Oryza sativa Japonica Group: one gene and its partners. The protein of the gene in region 3 binds, or shares a complex with, the protein of the main gene of each other region. Links are inferred from orthologs where the notes say so. Each region holds a gene or a part of one and is shown on either strand. Other genes may lie near its edges.

What was found.
Region 1: 7-hydroxymethyl chlorophyll a reductase, chloroplastic-like (region 3) and probable chlorophyll(ide) b reductase NYC1, chloroplastic share a complex: the UniProt entries of both Arabidopsis thaliana proteins name them as parts of the SGR1-CCE-LHCII complex. The link is inferred for Oryza sativa Japonica Group from reciprocal best matches to the Arabidopsis thaliana genes HCAR and NYC1.
Region 2: 7-hydroxymethyl chlorophyll a reductase, chloroplastic-like (region 3) and red chlorophyll catabolite reductase 1, chloroplastic share a complex: the UniProt entries of both Arabidopsis thaliana proteins name them as parts of the SGR1-CCE-LHCII complex. The link is inferred for Oryza sativa Japonica Group from reciprocal best matches to the Arabidopsis thaliana genes HCAR and ACD2.
Region 4: 7-hydroxymethyl chlorophyll a reductase, chloroplastic-like (region 3) and chlorophyll(ide) b reductase NOL, chloroplastic share a complex: the UniProt entries of both Arabidopsis thaliana proteins name them as parts of the SGR1-CCE-LHCII complex. The link is inferred for Oryza sativa Japonica Group from reciprocal best matches to the Arabidopsis thaliana genes HCAR and NOL.

What each region holds. Positions count from the first base shown.
Region 1 is NC_089035.1:7,037,270-7,042,628, reverse strand, and holds the end of probable chlorophyll(ide) b reductase NYC1, chloroplastic, read right to left. Parts: coding exon 5,350-5,359; intron 5,164-5,349; coding exon 5,095-5,163; intron 4,944-5,094; coding exon 4,804-4,943; intron 4,634-4,803; coding exon 4,511-4,633; intron 3,669-4,510; coding exon 3,476-3,668; intron 2,187-3,475; coding exon 2,001-2,186; 3' UTR 1,448-2,000; downstream 1-1,447. UniProt on the Arabidopsis thaliana protein: Involved in chlorophyll b degradation. Belongs to the chlorophyll catabolic enzymes (CCEs).
Region 2 is NC_089044.1:13,536,766-13,541,977, forward strand, and holds red chlorophyll catabolite reductase 1, chloroplastic, read right to left. Parts: upstream 3,009-5,212; 5' UTR 2,909-3,008; coding exon 2,537-2,908; intron 1,800-2,536; coding exon 1,182-1,799; 3' UTR 1,037-1,181; downstream 1-1,036. UniProt on the Arabidopsis thaliana protein: Catalyzes the key reaction of chlorophyll catabolism, porphyrin macrocycle cleavage of pheophorbide a (pheide a) to a primary fluorescent catabolite (pFCC).
Region 3 is NC_089038.1:14,947,610-14,951,944, reverse strand, and holds the end of 7-hydroxymethyl chlorophyll a reductase, chloroplastic-like, read right to left. Parts: intron 4,303-4,335; coding exon 4,224-4,302; intron 3,797-4,223; coding exon 3,745-3,796; intron 3,665-3,744; coding exon 3,602-3,664; intron 3,500-3,601; coding exon 3,402-3,499; intron 3,222-3,401; coding exon 3,186-3,221; intron 3,049-3,185; coding exon 2,987-3,048; intron 2,887-2,986; coding exon 2,859-2,886; intron 2,589-2,858; coding exon 2,509-2,588; intron 2,402-2,508; coding exon 2,332-2,401; intron 2,212-2,331; coding exon 2,154-2,211; intron 2,046-2,153; coding exon 1,981-2,045; intron 1,892-1,980; coding exon 1,797-1,891; intron 1,701-1,796; coding exon 1,616-1,700; 3' UTR 1,333-1,615; downstream 1-1,332. UniProt on the Arabidopsis thaliana protein: Probable iron-sulfur flavoprotein that converts 7-hydroxymethyl chlorophyll a to chlorophyll a using ferredoxin as a reducing equivalent. Catalyzes the reduction of a hydroxymethyl group to a methyl group. Belongs to the chlorophyll catabolic enzymes (CCEs).
Region 4 is NC_089037.1:26,387,879-26,393,388, forward strand, and holds the start of chlorophyll(ide) b reductase NOL, chloroplastic, read right to left. Parts: upstream 3,918-5,510; 5' UTR 3,796-3,917; coding exon 3,546-3,795; intron 2,953-3,545; coding exon 2,884-2,952; intron 2,450-2,883; coding exon 2,388-2,449; intron 2,253-2,387; coding exon 2,166-2,252; intron 1,885-2,165; coding exon 1,817-1,884; intron 1,719-1,816; coding exon 1,670-1,718; intron 1,571-1,669; coding exon 1,485-1,570; intron 1,045-1,484; coding exon 987-1,044; intron 561-986; coding exon 510-560; intron 310-509; coding exon 259-309; intron 175-258; coding exon 133-174; intron 1-132. UniProt on the Arabidopsis thaliana protein: Required for chlorophyll b degradation. Chlorophyll b, chlorophyllide b, pheophorbide b and pheophytin b can be used as substrates. Belongs to the chlorophyll catabolic enzymes (CCEs).

The DNA of each region.
Region 1 (5,359 bases), on a different chromosome or scaffold from region 3:
CTGGCAGTGGCATGTATGTACATGATGATGGCAATATTGAAGACTAGAAAGAAAAAGGCCAAGAAGTGGCTTTGCTAGGTGAATTAAGGGTGTGTTTGGTTCCTAACCATACTTTGTTGTCATTTATCAATAAATATTGTCACACGGTCTAAGTTGAGGCGATTAAATTATTGGCCACACCTTAGTAAGTCTAAGAGAATCTTGTTACATTTTTCTAAGTCAATGACACGTGAGACTCAGTTTATTAGAAAAGAATCTTGTCATAGCTATGGCTACAACAAACAGCTGCTAATGGGATTAAATCTATCTAATCTTAGATGTAGTAAACAGCAGTGTGGCTCGCAACCAAACACCCTCTAAACATTGACATGCAAAACAAACGCCGCCGTGGCTGCTGCTGGTAGCAAGCTGCAATCAGAGGTCCAAGAGGAGTACTACTGTACCAGCCATGTTCACTGCCCGGCCAGGGCAGTCAACTTGTCTGTAGTTGGTTAATCCAATCAAAGTAGCAGCAGATTTAGTGAGATTTCAATCAGCTAAGCAATTGCAAGTAAATGCGTGTTAGTAAGGCAAAGTTTGCATGCATATTTTATTTTAACCCCAGTGCTTAAGCTGATGGAAAATTAAAGGGCATATATGGATAGATCAGTTCAACCTAAAACTATCCCCTAAAAAAAAAGTTCAACCTAAAACTTGACTAGTAGAGAAGAACGGGCAATGCACTTAGGGGCAGAGCTAGGTAGGAGAGAGGGGTGCCCAGAAACCTGGCCAAGAAAATTTTTTTAGCTATAGTTTTTCTATTTTTACTATATATGTACCTCCTTAATCCAAACTCAAATACTCATATTAGCTTAAACTTGATTTAAAGTAGAGTAAAGCAAGTGAATGGTACATCTCTCTATTTCGTTTTAGCTCCGCCCCTAAATTGTCTTATACTCCCAACGAACAATGCAGAAGAGACAGGATTGGTGACATTGGGGCCTCGGACTCAAGAAGGAAGCTTCCACCCTCCAACTAATGGAAGGTGCCATTGCTCAGCAGAAAAAAAGGGAGAAATCGACACCCAACTTCGGAAGTGCACGCTGCTATCAACTCTCGGAAAGAAGCCTCACGTCGTCTCCAGCTTGTAGTTCAGAAAAGTTGCCAACGCATGCTCCGGCTCGGCTGCTCATCAGCGTGTGCACTCTCCACTCACCATCAGATATTTTTCATGAAAAAAGCACTAGCCTGTATTTTACTTTTGGAAGAAAAGAAAGCCCCTTGCTCACAATGGCTCGCACACAGAAATCCGTACATTGTTTGTACGAGGTGAAGTGAACGTCCTGCTTCCCCATCAAGAAGAATCATCACTCTGCAAGGCTGCAGGTGCAACAAACTGCATAAATGATAGTAGTAGTATACCTTAATGCAACTTCTGAATCTCCCCTGTTGTGATCAAGAATTCAAATGGACAAAAACACAGGATTACTGTCTTACTGATAGCTTTGCTTTTAGCTTTGAAGAAGCTTTCCTTGTGATATATAACAGACTGATGAGTCATATATATACATAGCAGATGCTGGCTTGATTACTCTCACTTACTTTCAGTTCTATTGGTGGTTGCAACATACGGTGCAACCGTGCAACTGGAAGCGACGACCAGAGAATTACAGTCATCAAAACTACATTACTACATGCATGTACAGCAGATAACATTGTCCATCGAATCTGTTCGTGCTCAGTTTAGCTCAGATACACGTTTTTACAAGTCAGCTTACAAACAGTGGAATGCCCACACAACAAATGCTATTTACCCATTTTTACTGAGCACATGGTTAGCTTGACCTTAAATGGTGAGTGGCAGCTGATGCTTCTCACCGTTGGGCGTATGTACGCAGTAAGCTTTCTGGGTTCAATTTCCCCCCTTCATAAGTTTCGTGTGTCATATATCAGTACATAATAGAATCCCCGTACTGAAGAAAAATGGTGTGTGTAGCCATCTAGTTTGGCAACTCCTGGGATCATGTGCCTGGAAGAGGTCCACCTGAGCTGGAAAGAATTATGAATGCGCAGACGACAGAGAGCGAGAACACAGAAACCCATGTGTTTTCTGTGTACATCTCCATGGCATCTGTGAAAGAGAAGCGTGCTCGACTTTCAGCCCAATTACGGATTCTATCAGCCTCTGCTGCATATACTGCTCTTCCCTGCAATGTGCTTATGATCAGTCACACATTCACATGAATTAATCATCAGACTGAAAGTATTATGAACTGTGAAGTATGCATAAAGTCGCTTGGTATGCTGATCTCTCATTTGTAAGAATATAATATTCTTTTACTTCATCTGTTTGATTTTCAACCTTGCACATAGGATGATTGGAGCATTGTCCATCACAAAAGACACTGATGTATACAGCACTTTTCTTCAGTTATATTGTGAAAGATTCTGAAGGAACACAAACGTTATAATTAAATTATTACCCACTTCTCAGCATTTTTTTTTCTCAAATGTCATGTTTCCTAAATATCTTGCGAAAATAATACATGTGTTCATTCAGTTTTTCCATTAATAATTGTCAATCTAATGGTGAGAAGCTTCGACGGTACCAAAATTTGCAGGTGATTTTCTTTCCCAAAATCACAGCCAATAAACCAGTGAGATACCAAAAAAAACGTCAATATGTATACTTGTGCCCATTTCAGCCCCAAAATATTACTAGAGTGCAATCATTTGACGGGTGCAGTTGCTTTTTAAAACCCCTATCATTCTCTCCAGTTAAATCTGTTGCTGGATTTCATGTGGACTAGGTGAGATCCAGCAATACATGTGAGAATTAACTATGTCATATTTAACATGCAGTACAAACAATAGCACTGAGACTGTTGGACCGAGCTAAGCCATGGTGGAACCAGGTGTTTGAAGCCGCCATTGAGGGGAGGACCAGCCTAAGGCCTTCCAGAAGAGCTCTGGCCAACTAGCAGTAAAGGTGATGGACTGAGCTGGTCATAATGAACCTGGAAACTGAACCATCAAGACAGACCCTATTTATGGCTCTTACTTATGTAGAGACCTGACAGAACTGGACACTGGTCTCAAGCTTCATTATGATCTGACTCGCCTGGTTGATCCAGTCTTAGAACGAATACTGCTTATTTAGCATAATTTACAAGAAAATCACCACAGGCATAATTTGAATAGTCTATGTCCATTGTTCTTTATATTCAACAATGAGTTTCATATACATTTGGTGCAACGGTAGAAGAGCTTGGTACTCTTTCTCTAGAAATGTATATTTCACTATTTCAGAAGCATAATAGCTCAAAAGTCTTGAGGTTCAATATCATGAAAAGTGCATGCAAGATGCATAATAATGAAAACAACAATCATGTTTGCACGCATGGCTTCTGCAGGAATTCAGCATATTTCATATACTGGCATTGCTGAAATAAAAGGTAAAGCTGAAAAGTACTAGCTGCATAGAGAAGAAACATACCTCTTCATCAAACCATCGGCCTCGGCGAACCCATGCAGTAACCAAGGCAAGCAAGATCCTTGGTGGTGTCAAGTAGTTTATCGCCTTTCCACTTCCTTTCACAACTCGCATCCTCGGAACCAATGTCCTTGCAACTGTTTCTGGAAGCTCACATATTAAATTGAACATCTGTTTATTTCTCAGAGAAGAACCGCTGCAAAAGATAGAAGGATTATAAGTTAACTAAAGCAGTCTGCATAGTTGGGCATGTGGCAACAGAAGAGCTGACCAGATAAATATGGAAGAAGTGGCATGCACCATCAATTGAAGTTAAAAAACATATTATTCTCCGTATATAGTATTACCAATAAAAAATATTAATATGTTAGAACTTTCCAGTGCATTAGTCATTTGTAATAATTATATCTGGAAGTTATCTCACAAGTTATTTATATATTGACAGAAACTATGAAGCCTTACAAGTATAAAGTATGTGCAACATCACAACTTTGAACTGGATTTACAAGGCAGAGTATTTGCACAAGAATGGAACATTAATTCTTTCAGGTTCTGATTAACCGCCACGCACCCAGTTTACCGTGTCATCGGGATTATAGCAGATAGGAAAAGCCAGAGCTAGAAGTGTAGTAGCAAAAGCAACTTAATAATTAATGTGAAGCTGATTCTACAGAAATAGTTGCCACAAATCAAATCCTAGAAAGAAGAGATTGAAACAAAGAAGATTTGGGCAGCGAGGTATCTCAAAATTTTGACTCTTCCCCATTCAACAAAGGAGACATTCTGATTGTTGATTAACTAAAATAAATTCAAAATGAAGATAGCGTGAAATTCTGATTAACCAATATGTGTGGTTCCATAAAGATCCTACTGAAAACTTCTTATGCACTTGAAGTCTTATCTTGTTTTACTATCATCACACAAAGTGTGGTTTGGAGTTTGGACAACATGTGCACCAAGCAATAAATATATTGAAGTTCAGAATGAACTAAACAAGCAAATCATCAATAATTGCATCTAAATAACTTCAGAGGTTACCTCAAAAGGAGGTCCGTAAGGACCATTCCAGGAGAAGCAGTGTGTACACCAACTTTTGATCTTCTGCTTTCCTTCAGAAGTGATGCTTGAAACTGTCTAAGGCCACACTTAGTTGAACCATAACTGCAAGTTTGCAAAATAGTATCAGTTTTAGTTTCACTGCACAAGTAACAACATCAATACAATTATACTCGTTTTTAGCCAATGAAGAAACCACAAGACAATATCCCTGTCCAGTATAAGAGCTACACGAACAGTGGAGCATTAAAAATTTGAAATCATTAGGTACTTACACAGCTGTTAATGGTGTACTTGATCCTCCAGAACCTGCTCCATCCATGTTAAATACGTGACCTCCCTTTTGTTGGTGTTGCATGACATTCATGGCTTCTCTGGTGCACAGTAAAGAGCCAACTAGGTTTGTTGAGACAATCTGCAAACAGAAAAGGACACAATAATGTTGTTTAGGCTAAGCAGAAAGAAAAATAAGATGAAATAACTAAGTCAGGTTGCATGACGAATATAGTTCTATGAACTCTATTAGAATGGAAAAGACTCTGATTTTCCGAAGATAATTAACGTACCTGAGAAATATCTTCATCTGAAAAGTTTACCAGTGGCCTAAAACCTTTGTTTGTGCCAGCGTTATTTATCTATACATAAGAATAAGAAGAATAGCACATGTTAAGTACATTCTGCGATGCCACAGTACAGAACAAAATAAAAAGGTTATAAGTACAAAAACTTGTGCACTCAATCCAAGTATCCAACTGAGTACCCTACCGTGAAATAATGCAGAATAAATGATGGGGATAGATATGTAAAAGTAAATTATTTACCCAAATATCA
Region 2 (5,212 bases), on a different chromosome or scaffold from region 3:
AGGGGGGAATGGTGGTTTTTGCAGGAATGACCTGGGGTTTGTGGATTACCAGAAATAATTGGGTTTTTAACAATAAACTGATCAAATCACCTTTGCAGGTCGTGTACAGGTCTTTGTCTTTGATGCAAAGGTGGAAGGTGCTGCTAAAAGAAAAGGAGTGTACTAGCTTGGATGTCTTTCAAGCAAAGATAATGCTGACGTTGGAAGTGCTGAAGCCGACTGATAATCTTCCTGATGATATAGGATAGTTCATGGGAATGGGCTCTGAAAATATTTGGTCTTTTGTTGTGGGTGTTAAAATGTCTGGAAGGGGGCTAGGTTTAGTGGATGTCCAAGCTTTTGTTGAGCTGGTTTGGAAAACTGGAATCCCCAGTTTTTTGTTTCCTTTTGTTTCGTTTTTCTGTAAGAACTCTGTTTCGTTTGGGCTTTTTCTAAAGCCGGGTAATATATGCCTGTTGTCAAAAAAAAGATGCTGTTTTCTGTTTACATTTTTTCCTTTTGGCTTTGCCGTTCGAACTCTCCATTCTTGATACAATAATTGTGTATTTCAACCGAAAAGAGAAGGCAAAAACAACTCTCCAAAAAACTTGGAGTTTATGTTTTGTGCCATGTGTGCTTCTAGAGCTGCGAGTAGCTGTAGGGAGCCAGGATTAGTATGGCTGGTAGTTAGTGAATTTCTGATTGATAGCATTTCAATTTTGTCATAAACTGGTGCGTTGATCTATGAAATTAGGCAGTTAGATTCATCGCAAATTTTTAATGGGATGAGAATATGTAAACACGGTATGTAAAGTTATCCATTAACTAGTAATACATTTGTAAAATAAAATAATTGACTGTCCTTTCTCTTTAAGAAATTGAGGAAACCACCCGTGAAATCAGTTTACTGGTACTTATAAATTATATTATCTTTTTGGGCACTTTCTTTTAATGAGGGCATCGATGTATCTCTAGAGGAGGCCGAGATTTGGGTTGAAACGGCTAGAGTAAAAAATCGGCATGAAAACCAACACTACATTGGTTTGTATAATTGTATAGACAAAATTATGACATCTGATGGTATTTGCAATTATAAATTTATAATCACACAATATATCTGATTGTTCAAGCAAAAGGGACAAAAGACTACTAACATTACTTTCGAATGATGTACAGATGAATTCCTGGTCACAGTTCTAAAGCTAGGCCTCTTGTACCCCAAAGGCCTTCTGGATTTCAGCTATGACTCGGTCTGCGACATCGGGACCAAACATCCTCGGCAAATTTGAAGTCAGGTCGACCTCGATTGACTTGGACCTTACAATTTGGTCCCTCTTTATCATGTTTTCTCTCTCGCCTTCTTCCATCTCTGAAGTATGATCAGCACAACTATCAAGCCAAATTTGAAGAAGTGCCCTAGCAGCTGTTGCTAGTTGACCACGCACTATCTCTTCCAAGGTACCCTCTCCTCCTTGCCCACAGTCGATGCTCATCAGTATTGCTGTCAGTGAGAAGGTGCTGCGCACGAAGAGGGATCGCGATCGGTATGGACGGGCCTGCGGCAATTCTTCGACCTTCTCACGCTGTTTGTCCACCTGAGTATTCTCATAGTATCTCTCTATGTATTCGGGATGGAGCGCAAGGTCTTTCCGTGGGAGAAGGTCCAGAAGCACCACGATCGAAGTTGGGCTACCTTGTATAAATTCCATGAGGAAATGCGGAGCATCTGTCGAGGCGTTCAGAAAGATGAGAAGAGATGTAATGTCGATTGCGCCATTTGGGACTTTGCAGTGTAGTGAGGACTGGAGCATGAAATCAATCTGTAGACAAGAAAAATTAATAATTTAACTCCATTTGTCATTCCTTGCAGAACTCAAGAAATTCTACCACGCTAAGCTACTGAGCACTAGGGAGCATAATTCAGGTGTTCAAGTGGTGAGATTAGTTTCATAATTTGAATGCTGTTGATCATTTTGGCCACTCCAATTGTGTCCGTTCAGTTGGAGTGATTTTGTTTTTTTGTTTTTGGAGAGGAAACAAAATCTGTGAGTGATAGGAAGAATCACGAATGAGGTACAAACTCTAGAACAGACCAATTGTTTCCATTTCGATATTGGAAGCAAATGAACTAATTTGAGCATTGCCAATATAATGAAAAGTCATAATTTGCTCCGAAGAGTTGGATTATGGATCTTGGCTTCTAAAAGTTTGCAAGTTCACCTTGATAGGGCAAATCACAAATAGTTCGGCAGCAATTTTTCAGTGTAAAACAGTTTCAGTAAATTGTCCAAGTCTTTTGACATGCCATTGATCTATTCTGCTCTGTTTGTGCCAGCCTGTTTTTACCAGTTTACCACTACCATTTCACTACTTAATTAGTTAATTCATATGATTCACTACTTAATTCATATGACTGATTCTGATGGTGCTCTAGACATTACCAGTTTACCACTACCATTTCACTAATTCATATGACTGATTCTGATGTTCTCCAATCGACAGAACAGGTAAATCTGTACGATCTGACGAGCAAAAGTGAGAGGAGGGGTGCCATTACCGTCGATCCCGGCGCGCCGCGGCGCACGTCGAGCGAGCCCACGGCGTTCCCGGCGCCGCCGCCGCTGCGGAACTCGGCGACGTCGGGCGGCACGGCGGAGGGGAGCAGCCGCGCGCCCAGCCGCGCCTCCGCCAGGGACGCGAGCGCCCGCGCCACCTCCCGGTGCGCCACCTCCACCATCACCTCCGGCTCCGTCGCGCCCGGCGCCGCCGCCGACGACGCGCGCACGGCGCTCGACGTTTTGCCCCCGAGCTGGGAACCCGCGCCGCGGCGGCGGCGGCGGAGGGGGAGGAGGCGAGGAGCGAGGGTCGGGAAGGAGACGGCGGAGGACGGCGAGCTGGTCGCCGGCGGCGGCGAGCGGAGTTGGAGCATTGGATCACGGCGAGGTGTTCGACGCGTGGACGAACGGAGCGAGAGATGAATGTGAGCGAGAGGGAGTGAGAAGGATTCCGTGAACGTGTAGAACTATCCCTCTTTTACTTTTGTAACTAGTGCAGTATATACATAGGAGATGATTGAAAGAGAGATCTGAAAGCTGCTGTTACAAATCCATCAGATTCCAAGACATTATCTATTGCAATTTGCAAATGCCTTGTTTTTTTTACGGACACTGCATTACTGAAATGTGAGATAATGCCAATTGAGGTGGTATTTGGGAATCACAAAAATGACTAGTTTAGTCCCTCCTTCGCAAACACCACATGAGTTGGTTTTTTTCTTTTATACTTCCTCCGTTTCAGGTTATAAGACTTTCTAGCATTCCCTATATTCATATAAATGTTAATGAATCTAGACACATATATATCTAGATTTATTAACATATATATGAATGTGGGTAATGTTAGAAAATCTTATAATATAAAACGGAGGAAGTACCATGCTAATGACTGGGCAGCTCACCATGTAGCGCATAAGCTTGGGAACCGAGGTGATACTTATGCCCTATTCTTTTCTCCAATAAAAGTTGGATAAACTTTTGGATACTCGTGACACGTTTTTCAAACTGCTAAACGATACGTTTCGTGGGAAAACTTTTTATATGAAAGTTGTTCTAAAATATCATATTAATCCATTTTTCAAGTTTGTAATAATTAAAACTTAATTAATCATATATTATTACTACATCGTTTTGCGTGAAACACTTAATCTTCATCTTTATATTTATCTTCAGGAGATTAAACACACCACCTAAACCTTAATACACTTGAGGCCATCTGCTACTGCTGATCACTCACTGCTGTTGCTGCTTATCGCTCCATGGGCCAAGGCCCAAAGCTCACAAAAGGCCAGATGCTGCACACTAGCTTTCTTCCTCAGTCCACTAGCTCTTCATTTTCCTTTTTCCCCCCTCTAATTATTGTGGGGGCCATATTACTGAAGGAGAATTCGAAACATCTTGAATCTTCTCAGAGAGCTTGAGAGTGAAATGAGTGGGCCGGCCAAAGAAGACCACTATGGAAGTGAAAGGGGAGGGCAAGAGCGGTTCGAAGGTCAATGAAATGGGTTCAGTTCCCTTGTCAAATAGGGGCCCCGACCCATGTTCAATCACTGAAGTGTGGTTGAGTGAGATGATCCGCAACCAACAAATGATTTGTCATTGTCTCTAAATCACTGAATGAATTCGTTTTTTATTTATATATGAGAACTAGAGAGTTCACAACTCCCTTTTCATTTATTTTGATCACTTTTTAGTTTCTGCGAATACTTATCACTAAACGTTTAAAAGGTTAATAGGATCCACGCCAACTATAAATATGCCATTTCGGATAAATGCCACTACTATTCATGATATTGGTTACGTGCCACTGAAATTTGAGGAGTTAGAACTACACTATCACCGTTGCATTTCCCGTCAGACCCCTAGGCGTTAGACCCACATATCAGTTCCATCTTTCTCCATCCTCCCTCTTCTTTATTCCCTATCTCTTCCTCCATCTTCTACGACTGCTACAAGGGACATCGACGGCGGCGACCGAGCCCTCCCACTGCGGATGGGATAAGGTCGATGACGACAGTGGCTCCCAAGCCCTCCCACCGTGGATGGGGTTGAAGACGACAGCGTTGGCATCTCCTGAGCCCTCCCGCCACGGATGGGAGAAGATTGACAACGGCGGTGGTTCCCAAGCTCTCCTGCCGTGGATGGAGTCAAAGAAGATGGCGGTGGCAGCTCCCGAACTTTCCCGCCGCGGAGGTGGTCGACGACGGTGGCGGTGACGATGAGCGCCGGAGAGAGAGAGAGATAGGGGGTAGGGGAAAGAGAGGAGAGTGAAGGGAGGAGAAAAACCTGGAATTGACAGCTAGGTCCCACGTGCAATTGATGCTAACGAAAAGTTTTGATGGATATAGCGATAGAGTGACACGGTTCCGATTTCCCTAAATCCGAATGACACGTCATAGCCGATATTGTGAATAGTACTAATTTTTATCTAAAATTACATATTCGTAGTGATATGGATCCAAGTAATCATTTATCAAGGTAGCGTTTTGTCTCTAGTGGGGCCTAATAATAAGAAGATATTAGAACATGCCAAACAATTATCTATACTACTCCCAATCTTAAATTTCGGGTGTTTAGGTAAAAAAAATCAGCATCCAACAGTAGCACTATACAAACACTCCCGAAAAATCCTTATGCCTATATGCAGAAATCTAGCTCTCCGCAAGTTTGAAGAGGGT
Region 3 (4,335 bases):
TGCCTTTTTTTTCTATTACACATGCATGTATTTTTTTTCCCCTTACAAAGTTTTCTCTTAAATTACTTATCCGATCTATAATCCGATTACACCATTGTGTTCGTTGCAATTAAATCTTCAAAACTAGATCTTACATGATTATACTACGATGAAAAAATATTTATACTTGTAAATTACTTTTTATTATATAGTTAAGTTACTTTTATCATATACTTAAGTTACTTTTATCATATATATAAATTACTTTTTATATATTCATAATGTTTTAAGTCGATTATGTTTATTATAGTTTTTAGTCAATTCTATAATTTATGGACTTTAAATTTAATTTTTAGATACAAAATATTTTTCTCTCGAATTTACTTATAATGTTGTAACAACTTACTTCTATTTTGTGCTAACTTACTTCTATTGCATAGTTAAGTTACATCTATTGCATAGCTAAGTTACTACTACAATTTAAATAAATTACTTTTAAATTAATGAAATGTTTGAATATATTCAACATGGATCTTGTTTTGTCTCATATTTTATGTAGATTACAATGATGTAAATAGATCATGAAAATAATACGTGATTTAAAATATATAAGTTATTAAAGAGCTTAAATCTAAAAGTAATTTATGTATAGGACAAAAGTAACTTACATATATAATAAAAGTAATTTACAACATAGATATTTTTTTATCAGAATATAATCGTGTAAGATCTTGTTGTAAAGATTTAATTGCAACGATCATAACAATGTAATCGGATTATAGATCGGATAAGTAATTTAGGAGAAAATTCTCTAGGAAGAAAAAAAAAAGACATGTATTGTTGAGTGTACTAGTAATGTTTTTGAAAGAGAAGGGCGTCGCTGGTTAGCGATATGCCGCTAGCGCGCGATCTAGCCGTGTCCATGTCGCTAGCGCGCGCGATCTACCGTGTCCATCTGGATAACAGCTCTAATTGAAAGTGCATAGTCAATTAGTCATCAACCTTCCATGTAGCTCCAGTAAAAAGTAGAAGCACCAGAATATCAACCCCTCTCATCTCCGAGACTCCGAGGAAACACCATGGATTAAGCTCATCATCTATTAGTGCTAAAAACAACTATATATTGCACCCATTTCTTATCACCTCGAGCAACTTAATAGGCCGATTATCAATGTATGCAACTGATTTAAATGAATATGTAAACATATTTAAATGAATGTGTGTAAAAACTGCTAGTCTTGTCAAAACCTTACTTTCTCCTCTCATTAGAATAAGGTTATCTGTTGTCTATTACCCCATCTGACTAGTATAATTTTTAATTTTTTGAACTATATATAGCATGTCAGGCAAGGCTGGTCAAGAATACTTACCATTTTCCAATTCTATACAAGAAATTTCATATTTGATCAATGTACACGTAATATGTATAGTTCCCCTAGCCCCCGACTGTTTTATCGGGAGATTCTCCCAGGAAGACAGTCAGATAAGACATGTAAAAAATTAGTAAAGAGGAAATTCCCCTAAACCCTGGCTGTGTGCTCAGGAATGTACATAACTACGGGATATACTGACTAGAATGAACAAGTCGATATGAGGAAAAATAATAATAATCTAGAATGCAGACTAGCGTCCCATGCTACTGGAGCATCGACTCGATGCGTCCGTCCTTGTCGTACGCCTCCACAATCTTCTTGGCATAGGAAGGAATGTGCTGCTCCGCTCTGTGTTCATGTCAACAACCAGTTGAGTAAACCATCTCAGGTTAATTGTATATTCACATCAAGATTAAACCTACAAAATCAAGAATATATATATACCTTTGCTTGCCCCATGCCCGATTCACATGGAGGTAATTCCTTATCGTGTGATAATCCAGAGAGTAGCGAGCAAACTCTAGCCCCTTCGGCCCAATCTGAATAATCAAACCAAAAGAAGTATTTTTACTATATACATGTGTTCGATCCATCTTATGTATGCGAAATATGGTCGAGCAATACTAACCAGATTCAGTAGGAAGGCTATAACATTGCCGACAAATGTCGGAGCTGGCTGAGAAGGTCCTCTCCCTGCAAAATTTTCAAGCTTAGGTGACTGTTTAGGAGTATCTTAGTATAGAATTCAATCTCATAAATGTAGAAAACCCGGGAATAAACATCTAATAGCTCACTTCATACCCTGTTTTGCTTCATCATCAGCTTTAACCGTCTCGATAACAAATGGTTGCCTGACGCCCTGAAAATTAAAGAGAAAGGCACAATTAATCTTCATGTTCAGATATATGTACTAGCATAGTCTTCATCTAAGTTACATTGAAAAAAAGAAGTCTCTGATAGTTCGTGAATCGACGCATACACTGCTAACTGTAGGTGTACTCTCCAGGAGGCCCTCTACTAGGCTGAGCATCTCCCTTCCACGATCATTCCTAAAGGAATGCCATAATACCATTATGATCGAAAAAAAAATCAATTCGCTGCTCAACAGAAACTGGCTACAATCAATTGCCATGCTCCAGCATCCCCATCACTCTACCTGACTGTAATGTATTGAGGGTGCTGTGTCATGGAAACTCCAGGGTACTTTGGTACACCCATATAGCCCACCACTAAATCCTGCACTTCTTTATCAAACGTATATTAATTATCTCTGGGAGCAAACCGAGAATGGAAGGGCAACTGTATAGAAGGGACATATAATGGCCATTCAGATTTGATCAGACCAACGAAAATAAACACCAACCCTACGAGCACAACTAAGTACTAGGAAGTGACAATGAGCAGAAGGAATAATACAGCCAGATACCAGATGGTTCCTTTCCAAAATATGAATATCTGCTATAGCAAGAGTACAAATATTCAACTTTAAAACGATGGAAACCTTACAGCCAAGCCATTTGTGTAGTCAAAGCAGCTGCAGGATGGTAGTAGTAAGAACATAAGCTCGTTGTGAATGATGACTGGAAATTCTGGAGAAAATCTGGCAACACAATTATATGACGGGCAAATATTACCTGTAGCATGATGGGGCAATAACATCAACAAGGTCCTTTGCTGGCAGGCAAAAATAGGGAACCTGATTTAAGGTAGTAAATGATTATTTTAGAAGAATCAGTGATGTAAATGATTATTTTAGAAGAATCAGTGATGTAAATGATTATTTTAAAAGAATCAGTGATGCACAAGAAAAGAAAAAAGAAAAATAAGCTTTGCCTCTTCAATATGTCCATCCAAGTGCTTTAAGTGAACCTGCAAATACGCTGAGTTATACAACAGTCATGAATCAAAATTTTGGAAGCAACAACATGGTTATATTGTTGATTCAATAAGTTTTTCTCTATGTCCTAAAACTGCCTGTTGAACTGTTGACTTCTAAACAGTATGTCAAAAATAAGAGAAAATAGAGTACTAATTATTCCAAAGTTTTACCTTGTAGTCCTGCATAAATTCATAATGCAGTACAGTCTCTGGTTCACTGCTTGCAGCCTTCAAAAACTTGTCAAGTCCTTCACGGGTACCATTGTCCACTGTGAATATTTACTGTAAGCCAACGTTCAAATATATCCTCCGTGCAACACAGTAATTACAAATTTCAAGATCAACTAATTCAGTTATCAGTTAGTAGTTACCACAGTTTGTCCCGAGCACATAAAGCTTTTCCAAACCAAGATACTTCTCAACTGATCTCAAAGCTGTTGCCACATTGGATAATTATGAGATACAACACATTGTCACCACTAGAAATAGAAGAATGTTTGGGCAAGGTAAACACCTTGCACTTGACAACCCACACCACAGAAGAGAAGACGCTTCACACCAGCTGCCTGTCAAAGGATAGCATGAAACTGAGGTTTTGACAGAGTTAGTCAGGAAGATAGAGTATGGACCAACTATCATGTCATATTGTCATCATATCATTATGGTCTTGATTGTAGAATCTAATAGCCTAAATTGGACTTTGTTTTGCCTTTAGAGTCACTACTGGAATGACATTAAGTAAAATTTGATCTTGTAGGTTGAATAGAACAACATTAGTTCTGATTCCTTTGAAACCAAACTAAATTCGAATTGCCTAGAAAGGGGATGAGGTAAAAATGCTCTGGAAAAAATGACTCCAAGTTCATGTCCAAGGCAAAAGATATCTGCCGTAATCACCCATATGCCTGTATAGGTTTTGAAGGGCAGGGGACAAGACACAGGAGCTAGTGACCCAAAAAAAGGATGCATAGTGTGCACAAGAGATAGATTTACCTCAACCAACGCAAGCGTATTGAGATTAGGTGATAATGTTGGCTTCACACCTTTGGCTGCAATAACTTCATCTGGCGTCCTACGAGATAATAGTTGATCAATCAAATTTTGC
Region 4 (5,510 bases), on a different chromosome or scaffold from region 3:
GGTTAGATATTTCAAGCTATTTGGCTTGCAGTAGCTAAATCATGTTTGCTACTTCAGTCTTCAGCCATATGGAAACTAGAACAAGAAACAACGATATGCTGGGGAAAAAAGAAATCAAGATGGAGCTCTTACCACATTAGCAGGTTCAGCTAATATATTGATGAAAAATTTGGCCTGCCATCAGTATAAATCCAGAATTTAATAACGATGAACTATCTTGTCAACAATTGTTAAAAGGAGACCATGTGGATCACTCACCTGCTTTGTTGTGGCACCAGACATAAGAAGATCTGTTGTAACCATGCCAGGCTGCACAGATTAATATGTACTCGGTATAATTATTCTTGCATCATTATTAATCGATTATACAAGAAGAATGCAACCAATTAACTTGCAGAGATGCATGATTCAAAGCTTACAGGAACTAATTTGCTAAACTACTCCAGTGTTTAATCATCTAGTTAAGTCTAAAGTAGTAAGACACCAGGAAAAAGGTTGGAGTTATGTACCGACAAATTGTGCACCATAACATTGTTCACTTCATTCATCTGCAACTCGGCCTGCAATTAGAATCAAATTATTTTCTTCCTGCAAATTCTAATAAACAAGAATTCCAGAAGGACAAAAAAAAGAGGAAATGAAAACCTACATTGCGAGTTCTCCAGAAAAATCGTTCCATTTAAGAAGGGAAGGGTCTGAACCTCAAGACTCAAGTCCAAGGATTATATGGATGATTACAGCTTTATGTTTTTTTTTTCAAATTATTAATGAGTATTGAGTAACTATTTGATAATCACAGCTTTATTGTTCTGGATACTGAGAAATGGTGGTAATCAATATTGCATCATAGTTGTGATGTCACAATGCAGTTAACAATTTATATGAAGTTACAATGCCACAAATAGTGGACTATGAATAAATGCTACACTGGATATGTTCTGATCAAAACAAAATGATATGAGGTTATATCCTCACATAACCTTTACCTGCAGAGATTTTGTAAGGTGCACCACACTTCTCTTCGTTGCACCATATGCAGCAAACCTAGTCATTATCAATAATAATCAGTGTCTATTTCTGAAAGGATATTAAGTTATTAAGTAGTATCCTGGTGTAACCACAAAAGCACTAGTTACCAAAATATAATTATATTTAATATCGCTTGATACCCCCAACCCCCCAACGCGCGCGCGCGGGGGCCACCGCAGTGGTGTAATTTTTTCATTTGGTTGAAACTACTGATAACAGTACAGTATATGTCTATATGGAAGCCAAATTCAGCACAGAAACTTATGAGGCACAGTTATGTGGAATCATAGGTACTCTCCTATTAGCAATTAGCAATAAACTAAAAGGACATAATACATGATGTGAAATTTCATAGCTTCATACTGTATGAGAATTCAAACATAATGATATAATGATTGAATTGCACATTGAGTGTCTACATTTTACTACAGAACAGAACAAATGGAAATGCATACCTTGGGGTTGGCCTTCCATCAGAACCAGCACCATCGATGTTAAATATGTGGCCACCTCGAGGTTGGTTTCTCATCATATTTATTGCCTAAGATGGCAAGATGGCAAGAAGATGAATATTTGGAAAATGAATCTTCACAGTTGTTGTAATGAAATTCAGAAAGCTAGTATGAGTTGAAAGAAATACCTCACGACAACATATCATTAATCCAAGAGTGTTAGTTGTGATCACTTCCCTATTAAATCAAAGAAAGAGTGGAGTTTGAATATAGCTTGAAAGCACAATTGAATGTATTTGGTCAAGCCATAAATAAAAAGACAGCATGAAAATTACATGAGAGCCTCGTCGGAGGTCTCGACCAACGGTTTGTAACTATATGCATTTGATCCAGCATTGTTGATCTGTGCCAAAGGAACACAAAGATAAGGAGAAAATCCTGCCTTCTTATGGTTCTAGATTTTACCCAAAAAGATTCAACACTACATAACTGAGTGCTTCAATTAAATTACTGAAGTTTAAATATTCAAAAAGGGTAGCTGAGAAATTTCGAACACTCATGAGTATGTAGTGAGAATCAGCATAACTTTATAGCCAGTGATTTTCATATTTGTACATATGAAAAGAATATAAACATGAGTAAGTTCATGTGCAGATATTTGATGATGATGGGGTGATTATGTACCCAAATATCAATATACTTCATCTTGTCACGTGCAAAATCAACTAGTGCCTTTACATCCTTTCCTTCCCTAACATCACAGACAATTCCCTGCAATAATACAAATAGAAGCAGTTCAGTTGCATAAGTATTATTGCACTGTAAAATTTTCAACAAACATAATTATAAGTGGAGACTCCAATGGCAGTAAAAGTATCAAGTAGCTCAGCAGTAGGAAGTAGGTACCCACACATGTTGCTCTCCAAATTCCTTTTTCAAGTCAGTCACCGCAGATTCTACCCTTTCAGCTGTAGAGGATAGACTGCATGTCAAGGAAAGGCTAAACTGTAACTTGTTTGCTTTTTTTTTTTTCATTCTCTCACTAAAAGTGGGCTCAAGAAAATCCTAGCAATCCATTTGTTTATTCATTTTAAAATTTCATGAAAGATCAATTTAACAGGTCAGTCATATCAAGCAGATGACCCCTATATAGAGCACCTAATGAGCGATAATGAGCATCAAATGACAAAAGCTGGATAGTGCATATTTTAGTGTTAGGTCAATGGATCATCCAAATGAGAAGAGAGGAAAATAAAGAAACAGGTAAACGAGACTTGACCATGCAAATCAATTTGCAATGCATCTTAGGCTCGATAATTTATCCAATTTTATTTATGTCATCACTCAAAAATAATTACTAAAACTAGCGCTACCTATTGAAAGCACAAAATCATTTCTGTACCTGATCTTGAGCAGATTACAACATTATCGCCAGCCTTCAAAAATTCCTTTGCCAGAGCATATCCTATACCTGTTTAAGAGCAAACAAGGGTCATTGAGTTGTACTACAAAGGTTTTTGAAACAAGCTTCCACAAAGGAAGCGTTTAGGAGATATACCTCTACCACCATTGACCAAAAGATCTAATATGTCAGGATTTAAATATTTTTTTACCACAATACAGTATCAAAGCAATTGCTCCACACAGTTTCAAGCTGATTTGCATTGTTTGATTAAAAGGTCAATGCCGAATGCACTGATGTTCTAGTTCATTTTGTCTTCTAAATTGTGTACTAGAAAGTAGGAAATGAACTAATTAAGCAGGTTCTTATGCTGGTAGCGGCACTACCCACTTCCACCCCTACTTCCAAATTGGTGTTGCTCTCTTCTCGGCTACATAAGGCACGAAAAAACAACATCGCCACCACACCACACCCTGACCATCTGAATTATTTCCAACACAAGCATTCAGAATTTCAGAAATATCGATCACCACCAGTTCCTATATGCTCCTACTAAATTGCATCCCAACAAAAAGCATCCACAGACATCCTACTTCTTTCTTGTAAGCAAGATCAAGCATGCGAAGCAACACGACGACGAGGGGGGGAGAACTCAACAACACCTTTCGTGGAACCGGTGATTAGAACATTATACGGGGGCACCATGGCCGCCCTCCGCGCGACCCCTCCACCACCAGGGACAGCCTCCGCGCGGATACCGGCAGCCTCCGGCCCGCCTCTCGCCGCAAGCCGGCGCCGCGCCGTCCGGCCGGGCAACCGCGCCCCAGCAGCGGCCGAGCCCGACGGCCGGAGCGGAGCCAGGCCCACCTGCGCCTGGGCACGGAGCGGGAGGTAGGCGGCGGTGGCCGCCATTGCGGCGGTAGCGAGACGAGGGGAGGGGAGGGGAGGGGAGCGGAGTGGAGAGGCGTCGTCAACTGCGGTGCTCGCCTTGCCGGCTCGCCGTCGCGGAGTCTGGATAACGATTAACGAGCGAGGATTTTAGAAGGGAGGGGGCCTGCGAGTTAAGTACGGATGTTAAGAGGTGGAGGTGGCCCACAAGTCAGTGTGAGCAATCATCCTTTCTCTCTCTCTCTCTTTTAAACTACTAGTAGTATGTACTAGTACTATTTTGCAAGGTTTTTTTAACTATTATATGCATGTGCTTTACAATAGTTTTTTTTTTCGAACGCGCAAAAGAATTGCACGTCAATATATTAGTAGGAAAAGAGTTTTTGTTACACAAAGCAATCAGCCAGATTGGCTTATGCCTAAAGGGGGGACTTGAAGCTAGGAACTACTACGACGGTTAAAAACGTAATTCCAAACAGCGGGAGGGGGCAAAGCCACGCTACACTCCCAATAAATCCCCAAAAAAAGCAACGCCGACTAAAGACCACAGCTGGCCCTCCGAGCGGATGGACTCCAGAACCACTGCGACCGAAGCGAGCGCAGAGTCGAAAACCCTGGAGTTTCGTTCCTTCCACAGCTACCAGGAGACTAGGAATACCTGGAGTCGAAGCTTTACAATAGTTCCTTTTATAATAGTTTCTTTTCCTTTCTTATAGTAACATGCAACGGACTAAACCATATAATTAGGAATTGACTGGATGAGTGAATTGAGAATAAAACATGGGCTAAACCATATATAATTATAAATTGGGAAGAATGTATTGGATCCTATATAGTTACACACCTATGAGAAACACATGATGAGAAGGGGATGAAAGTAAGATGATTATGCTTTGTTCTAGACTCTAACTCTAAACTTCAACTTTTCTCGTTTTTCGTTAGAACATTTCTCAAACTGTTAAAAAGTGTTTTTTTAAAAAAAAATATAGAAGTTTTCTAAAGGATTCAAATGGACCAACTTATCAAATTTATAATAATTAATAATTAATTAATTATGGGTTAATTGCTTGCTTCGGTTTTTATGCTGCTTAGAAACTCAGTTAGTTGCTTGGCTTTGAGCAGGGTGTTTCAGTTTTACAGGTAAGGAACACTTGGGATTTATGGACTGTAGTGTTAGTGCATACTTGATTCATAAGTTAGACAAAGGGAAAATGTGGCTACTGGGAAGAAACGCCACCCTTCTCTTGTTGCATCTGGGGTAGTGATTACACGTGTCCTGGTAGTAATTAGTAGTACTACGATCGATATGTTGCCGTTGCTTCTGCACTAGTGATACTATTAAGTCTCGATCAGTTCGTCGCTGTCACCATGCCACTCTCGCGGTGAGCGTTGCTTGCTGGTTTGCACATGCTGGCTGTACATCGCATATACTCCCAACCAAATTAATTGTAGTATCCTTGTGCACTGCATTTGCAGAGCATAATATTCTGTCTTGATCTGCATAAGTTCGTCCTCAGCCTCAGTAAACTCTTTGCATACACAACCTGACAATCACTTCATACGCATGAGCACCACATCACACAGGATTGAGAAATTCACACCAACAAATTACACTAAGGACACTCAAAGTAATTAAAACATCTGGGGATGGTCATTATTGTTTATTATTGCTGCACACGAAGAGAGCAAGTTGCTGCAACGCAAAGTACTGCTAAGATAACAAGCGGATCGAGTACTCG